Linked DNA regions of Macaca fascicularis. The protein of the gene in region 1 purifies or fractionates together with the protein of each later gene. This does not show direct contact. Links are inferred from orthologs where the notes say so. Each region holds a gene or a part of one and is shown in the gene's direction. Other genes may lie near its edges.

What was found.
Region 2: the proteins of EIF3L (region 1) and ZNF746 purify together in Homo sapiens (affinity purification with mass spectrometry; 3 studies listed by BioGRID and IntAct, counting the BioPlex papers as one, with this or other methods). This does not show direct contact. The link is inferred for Macaca fascicularis from reciprocal best matches to the Homo sapiens genes EIF3L and ZNF746.

Annotation. Positions count from the first base shown.
Region 1 is NC_088384.1:13,745,863-13,749,676, reverse strand, and holds part of EIF3L (eukaryotic translation initiation factor 3 subunit L), read left to right. Parts: intron 1-2,928; coding exon 2,929-3,083; intron 3,084-3,814. UniProt on the Homo sapiens protein: Component of the eukaryotic translation initiation factor 3 (eIF-3) complex, which is required for several steps in the initiation of protein synthesis.
Region 2 is NC_088377.1:191,152,090-191,155,903, reverse strand, and holds part of ZNF746 (zinc finger protein 746), read left to right. Parts: intron 1-374; coding exon 375-674; intron 675-762; coding exon 763-889; intron 890-1,902; coding exon 1,903-2,016; intron 2,017-3,814.

The DNA of each region.
Region 1 (3,814 bases):
AGGTGCCATGACTCACGCCTATAATCCTAGCACTTTGGGAGGCCGAGGCGGGCAGATCACCTGAGGTCAGGAGTTCAAGACCATCCCGGCCGACATGGTGAAACCTCATCTCTACTAAAAATACAAAAAATTAGCCAGGCTTGGTGCTGGGCACCTATAATCCCATCTACTTGGGAAGCTGAGACAGGAGAATCATTTGAACCAGGGAGGCAGAGGTTGCAGTGAGCCGAGATGGCACCACTGCACTCCAGCTTGGGCAACAGAGTGAGACTCCGTCTCAAAAAAAAAAAAAAGATATATCATTAGATGTATGCGGATATTAAAAGTTGCAAAATCCAGAACACTTCTGGTCACAAGCATTTATAGAAGTATACTCACCCTGTACTTTGAAATAACCATTGGTAGTTTCATACAGATTAGGTGCAGTGAGGAATCTGAAACTGTATTAGTGAATTTTTCTTTTGTTATATTAACGTTATTGGTCACTCTTGTAATTTGAATGAGTTCCTTACATCCATGTGTGACTTTTTTTTCCTGAAACAGAATCTACTCTGTTACTCAGGCAGAGTGCAGTGTCATGATCTCAACTCACTGCAACCTCTGCCTCCGGGTTCAAGCAATTCTCCTGTTTCAGCCTCCCAGGATATAGAAAGGAAGGATTATAGGCACGCACCACCACACCCAGCTGATTTTTGTATTTTCAGTAGAACAGAGTTTGACCATGTTGGCCAGGCTGCTCTTGAACCCCCGGGCTCAAGTGATCTGCCTGCTTCGGCCTCCCAAAGTGCTGGGGTTACAGGCGTGAGTCACTGTGCCTGGCCATGTGTGATTTTTAAAAAAAAATTGGTTCACTGAGTTATAAAGATCTTCCAAATGTTAACACATTTTATTACATTTTTTTGAAAAAGTCACATTTGTTACTTTTGCCACTGATATCAGGTAAGCATTTATTCGTCAGCTACAGAGCTTGTAGTGGCAGATACAAGTTTTACAAAATTCCATTTTTGCTTAATAGCTTGAATTTTTATTTATTTTGAGATGGGGTCTCACTCTGTCACCCAGGCTGAAGTGCGGTGGCAAAATCATGGCTCACTGCATCCTCGACCTCCTGGGCTCAAGTGATCCTCCTACCTCAACCTCCTGAGTAGCTAAGACCACAGATGTGCACCTATTCCTGGCTGTTTTTTTGGTTTTTTTTTTAATAGAAACATGGTCTCACGGCCAGGCGCGGTGGCTCACGCCTGTAATCCCAGCTCTCAGGGAGGCAGAGGCGGGAGGATAGCTTGAGTCCAGGAGTTCGAGACCTGCCTGGGTAATATAGCGAGACCCCGTTCTCCACAAAAAGGAAAAAAAAAAAAAAAGACGAAACATGGTCTCACTTTGTTGCCCAGGCCGATCTTGAACTCATGGGATTTCACGTGTGAGCCACTGTGCCCAACTTTTGAATTGTTGTATTGGTAGCAAACACTGTCAGTTCTTTTCTTTGAGGTGTGACAGGTTTACTTCATTTTTGTGAAAATGTGTGCCCTTCCCCCCCCCCCGCCTTTTTTTTTTTTTTTTTTTTTTGAGACGGAGTCTCGCTCTGTCGCCCAGGCTGGAGTGCAGTGGCCGGATCTCAGCTCACTGCAAGCTCCGCCTCCCGGGTTCACGCCATTCTCCTGCCTCAGCCTCCCAAGTAGCTGGGACTACAGGCGCCCGCCACCTCGCCCGGCTAGTTTTTTGTATTTTTTAGTAGAGACGGGGTTTCACCGTGTTAGCCAGGATAGTCTCAATCTCCTGACCTCGTGATCCACCCGTCTCGGCCTCCCAAAGTGCTGGGATTACAGGCTTGAGCCACCGCGCCCGGCCTTTTTTTTTTTTTTTTTTTGAGGCAGAGTCTTGCTCTGTAGCCCAGGCTTGAGTGCAGTGGCACAATCTCTGCCTACTGCAACCTCCGCGTCCCGGGTTCAAGCAATTCTCCTGCCTCAGCCTCCCCAATAGCTGGGACTACAGGTGCACACCATCACACCCGGCTAATTTTTGTATTTTTAGTAGAGACGGGGTTCACCATGTTGGGCAGGCTGGGCTTAAACTCCTGACCTCAAGTGATAACGCCCACCTCGGCCTCCCAAAGTGCTGGGATTACAGGCATGAGCTGCGCTCAGCTGTGTATCAGTTGTTCTTTCAAGTAAAAATGATACTCCATGAAAAAAGGATTTTCTTTCTTTTTTTTGTCTTTTTTTAAGAACAGAGTCTCTCTGTTACCCAGGCCAAAATGCAGTAGCACTTCCATAGATCTGTGTCTCAAAACAAACAAATAACAACAACAAAAACTGATACAAACTCTGGTTATTCAGATATGGTACCTGGGCTCAAGCAAATCCTCCCACCTCAGCCTCCCAAGTAGCTGGGATTACAGGTCCAAGCCACCATGCCTGGCTAAGGACTAGTTCTTTTAGTGCAAATAAATGCATGGCAAGGAACAATACAGTGACTATCAGTACAATTTTGTGTCGCTACCTGATTTATGCTTAAGTTAACAGTAATTTTACCCAACATAGCGTTTGCATCATGTAAAATTCAACTTAGTGGGAAGGGCAAGTAGCATCTTAGTGTTGTTATTAGGAAAATAGCTTTGACCTCATGTGCGTTCTGAAAGGAGGAGTGTTCATGGATGTATTTTACTGATGAGAGGGGCCTTTTCATGTGTTGGGACCAAAAAAAAATAAGCAGACTGAACTGCCACCCTGTAAGCAAATATTGGTAAATTTAAGATTAGCATAAGATTGGTTTTGCTGTTTCGTGGTATTCCTTTGAAGTTATTCCCAATTGAGGGAAGCTTTCAAGGCTGGCAGTAGGTGAGATGCCTACTGAGTAACAATCAGAGGTCAGGTATACATGCCTTTACCTGCCTCCTATCAGAGTATTCACGGTGTCTCTCTTTTTCAGGTGACCCCGAGAGTGTGGCTGGGGAGTATGGGCGGCACTCCCTCTACAAAATGCTTGGTTACTTCAGCCTGGTGGGGCTCCTCCGCCTGCACTCCCTGTTAGGAGATTACTACCAGGCTATCAAGGTGCTGGAGAACATCGAACTGAACAAGAAGGTGATGCCTGTTGCCTCTGGCCCTTCTTGCCAGAGCCAGAATATGTATTTCTAGAGAACCACTCTGATCTCTTAGGACAAATTTCCAGGAGAGGAAAGAGGACTCTTCCCTCAGGCCATTGAAAGTTGAGACTAAAACTGGGCAAACAGCTGTGGTAAAAAGCTGGACCTGGACGATTTTGATAGTTAATGACAGTTTTTTATTCTCTTTTCAAAATGGAGTGATCATGGCAGCTTGCTCTGTCGCCAGGCTGGAGTGCAGTGGCGCATCTCGACTCACTGCAACCTCCTTCTCCTGGGTTCAAGCAATTCCCCTGCCTCAGCCTCTTGAGTAGCTGGGACTACAGGCATGCGCCACCATGCCCAGCTAATTTTTTTATTTTATTTTATTTTAGTAGAGATGGGGTTTCACCGTGTTGGCCAGGATGGTCTCAATCTCCTGACCTCATGATCCACCCACCTTGACCTCCCGAAGTGCTGGGATTACAGGTGTGAGCCACTGCACCTGGCCCATGGCAGTTCTTTACTCTTCACGTTTTGCTAAAGGATTGAGAAGGCCAGTTGCAGTGGCTTACGCCTGTAATCCCAGCACTTTGGGACGCTGAGGCAAGTGGATCGCTCGAGGTCAGGAGTTCGAGGCCAGCCTGGCCAACATGGTGAAACCCTGTCTCTGCTAAAAATACAAAAAAAAAAAAAAAAAAAACCTAGCTGGGTGTGATGGTGGGCACTTGT
Region 2 (3,814 bases), on another chromosome or scaffold:
TCCACTAAAATGCCCAGCAATGCTAAGTCACTGTTTACACAGCAAAATTGCACTGGGTACCTGCCATGTGTCAAGGACTGTGGTATGAAAAGATGCAATACCATGTTCAGGGAGCCCACAGTATAGGCGTGGGTAGGAAATTACTGTGTAGGGGGGTAAGCACCGTGAGAAGGGTCTGCATTGTGCTGCAGAGGCCTGGAGTAAAGGCACCCACCCAGACATAGACCTAACATACCCAAACAGGTGATTGCCAGCCTGAGATCTGGCATGTGGTACGGGATAGCCCCACTTGTCCACACATATTAGTGAGAGAGGGGCTCAGTGAAGTCAGTGGGTGGAATGAATGATGCCGGTTTCTCTTTTGTTTCTCAAAGATTTCTCCGTGGACGATGGCAGCCACGATTCAGGCCATGGAGAGGAAGATTGAATCGCAGGCTGCTCGCCTGCTTTCCCTAGAAGGTCGAACTGGGATGGCTGAGAAGAAGCTGGCCGATTGTGAGAAGACAGCTGTGGAGTTCGGGAACCAGCTGGAGGGCAAGTGGGCCGTGCTGGGGACCCTGCTGCAGGAGTACGGGCTGCTGCAGAGGCGGCTGGAGAATGTGGAGAACCTGCTGCGCAACAGGAACTTCTGGATCCTGCGGCTGCCCCCGGGCAGCAAGGGGGAGTCCCCGAAGGTAGCCCTGGGATTCCTTGGGGTTGGGGAGATCAAGTGGCCAAACCCGTGAGCGTGTGGGTGAGCGAGTGTGACACTTGTGGTTCTAGGTGCCCGTGACGTTTGATGATGTGGCCGTGTATTTCTCCGAGCAGGAGTGGGGCAAGCTGGAGGACTGGCAGAAGGAGCTCTACAAGCATGTGATGAGGGGCAACTACGAGACACTGGTCTCCCTGGGTAAGACCTGACACTCATTTCTCTGTTAAATAGGATTTTGCAAGTCCTCAAACTTCTCCTTCCACATAGTTGTTTTCATGACAGTGATATGTAAATCACCAAAAACACTGTTGACTTTGCAAGTTGTTATCTTTTGTGAAAGATGAGCCCTGGGTGATGGAGTTAAAAGCTCCCTTCTCCTTGTGTTGAGTTTCCCAGAATGCCAGGCTGGGAAAGGCGGTGGCTTCTCTCCTACGCAGGCCCAGGGTGTGGACCTTTCTGTTCTTGCTGACTTGGAGCAGGAAGGCCCCTTCTGCTCTCAGATCCAGTATGTAATTGACTCACATTAGAGAAAGACTCTTTCTTTCAGTCTTCTCCTACAAACATGCATGGCCCTTATGGCAACTTGCCTGGAGGTCAGTGGAGAACATGGGCAGACGGTGCTGCTTGCGGCAGACATTGTCTTCACGCCTCAGAACGTTGCTTCCCTCAGCCTGTGGGGCTACTGCTGCTCTCCTTGTTTGATCCTGCCCAGGAAGGGCCCAGACTGTTTCTTCCTGGGCTGATTTCCTCTTCCCGATGGTTTCTGTGTGACCCTGGAGCCGAGGGCAGCGAGGCCTATTAGAGAGGACAGGAGCAGGTGCAGATGTGAGGTTATGTTTCGTCAGCACAAGTGCACTGCTGTGTAACATGCGTGCTCTGCAGCAGTTTCTTCACCCCAGCACTGTTGACATTTTGGGACCAGGTGATTCTGTGTGTTGGGGGCCATCCTCTGTATTGTAGGATGTTCAGCAGCAGCCCTGGCTTCTACCTTCCAGATGTCAATCACCTTTCCCCCAGCCCTGGGCACGACAACCAGAATTGTCTCCAGACTTTGCCAAATGTCCCCTGGGGAGCAAAATTGCCTGCAGTTGGAAGCTCCTGCTCTGTGACAATCAAGAGATTTCGTTTCTAGACTATTGTTGGTTTTCCGGGCTGACTGTTCCCAGCTCTGACTGGAACATGGCAAAAACTAACCTTCTGTCTTTCCTCAGACTACGCCATCTCCAAGCCCGAGGTCCTCTCCCAGATTGAACAAGGGAAGGAGCCCTGCCACTGGCGCCGCCCTGGCCCCAAGATTCCAGATGTTCCTGTGGACCCGAGTCCAGGTAAGGGCTGGGAGAAGGCCAGGGAGGCCTCAGGTGATATGCGGGAAACAGAGATGGGAAGGCCAGAAAGGGTGTGACCTTTCCAGAGAAAGCTGAGGAGAAACAGGAAACTTACAGGTTTTATGTCTGAGTTTTTTATAGTTGAATTTTAATCTCTAACTTATTCAGCTAATGCTCCAGAAATGAACACTTTCTATCAGGGAAACAGGTGGCAAACCTAATCTTTTAGGAAGAGACAAAGGCAGGGAACAGAATGAGGGGAGGGAGAGGAGGACACCGAGAGGGAAGGCAGGAGCATAGTTGACCCTTGAACAACGCAGGGGCCAGGGGCAACAGCCCCCGGTCCCACGCAGCCAAAAATCTACGTATAACTTTTGACTCTCCAAAAAGTTTGCTGATAGTCTCCTATTGACCAGAAGCCTTATTGATAATACAAACAGTCAATAACACATATTCTGTATGTTCTATGTGTTACATAGTGTATACTTACAATAAGCTAGGGAAAAGAAAATGTTTCTAGGAAGATCATAAGGAAAAGAAAATAGGCTGGGCGTGGTGGCTCACACCTGTGATCCCAGCACTTTAGGAGGCCAAGGCAGGCAGATCACGAGGTGAGGAGATCGAGACCATCCTGGCTAACACGGTGAAACCCCATCTCTACTAAATATACAAAAAATTAGCTGGGTATGGTGGCGGGCGCCTATAGTCCCAGCTGCTCGGGAGGCTGAGGGAGAAAGAGTGGCGTGAACACAGGAGGCGGAGCTTGCAGTGAGCCGAGATTGTGCCACTGCACTCCAGCCTGGGCAACAGAGCAAGACTCTGTCTCAAAAAAAAAAAAAAGATATTTACTACTCATTAAGTGGAAGTGAGTCATCATAAAGGTCATCCTCATTGTCATCTTCAGATTGAGTAGACTGAAGGAAGAGGAGGGGTTGGTCTTGCTGTCTCAGGCGTGGCAGAGGCAGAAGAAAATCCATTTAGAAGTGGGCCTGCATAGTTCAAACCCATGTTGTTCAAGGTCAGCTGTATATTGACAACAAAATTAATTGAAAGCTTTGCAAAGAGTCAGCCTTGCCTCCAAGAACCAACCTTAATTTAAACCCATAGCAGTTGTAGAACATACACCCATTGGTCAGCCTTATGGTTTGGTATGATTAGAAGCACACATTTATTTAAGGTGAATCTGGTTACCAGATATCAGTGTCTCAGATTTCCCTGGAGCCAGTCAGCACCTTTGAAAGTTAAGGGAAGGACAGGTGGACACAGGAGAAAAACCAAATTCCTAAAGTGAAGACCTGCTGGGTCATTTGACCACGGAGACCACATCTCTGCAAGGCTCGACCCCTGATTCCTCCAGAAGACCCGCCCTTGACCGTCCCACCTGCCTTGGTTTTCGCTTTCGCCTGACACTTAAAAAGGTGGTGTTCCGCAGAGGCCCTCCTGTGCTCCACTTGTGTGAAATTAAATGCCTCCCCCATGTTCATCATCTCATCTCAGTCAGATTTGCACTTTCCTAAGGGTAGAAGCATGTTCCGAGCTGGGCGCTTTGCTAGTCGTCATCAGGACATTGACAGTTTAGTTCTACAGATGTATTTTGAGAATTTTCTAGGTGTCAAGGACAGTGCTGAATGCTAGAGGACAGAAAGACGGCTGAGAACACATACTATTGGGCTGGAAAAGAGGGTTACGACCCATGCACGTCCAGCTTCCTAGCCTGGGTGGGAGGTTCTGGGTAGGTGAGTTTCGTTGTATTTACACCGTGTGTGGAGGCTTCCCTCACTTCCACAGCATCATTAAA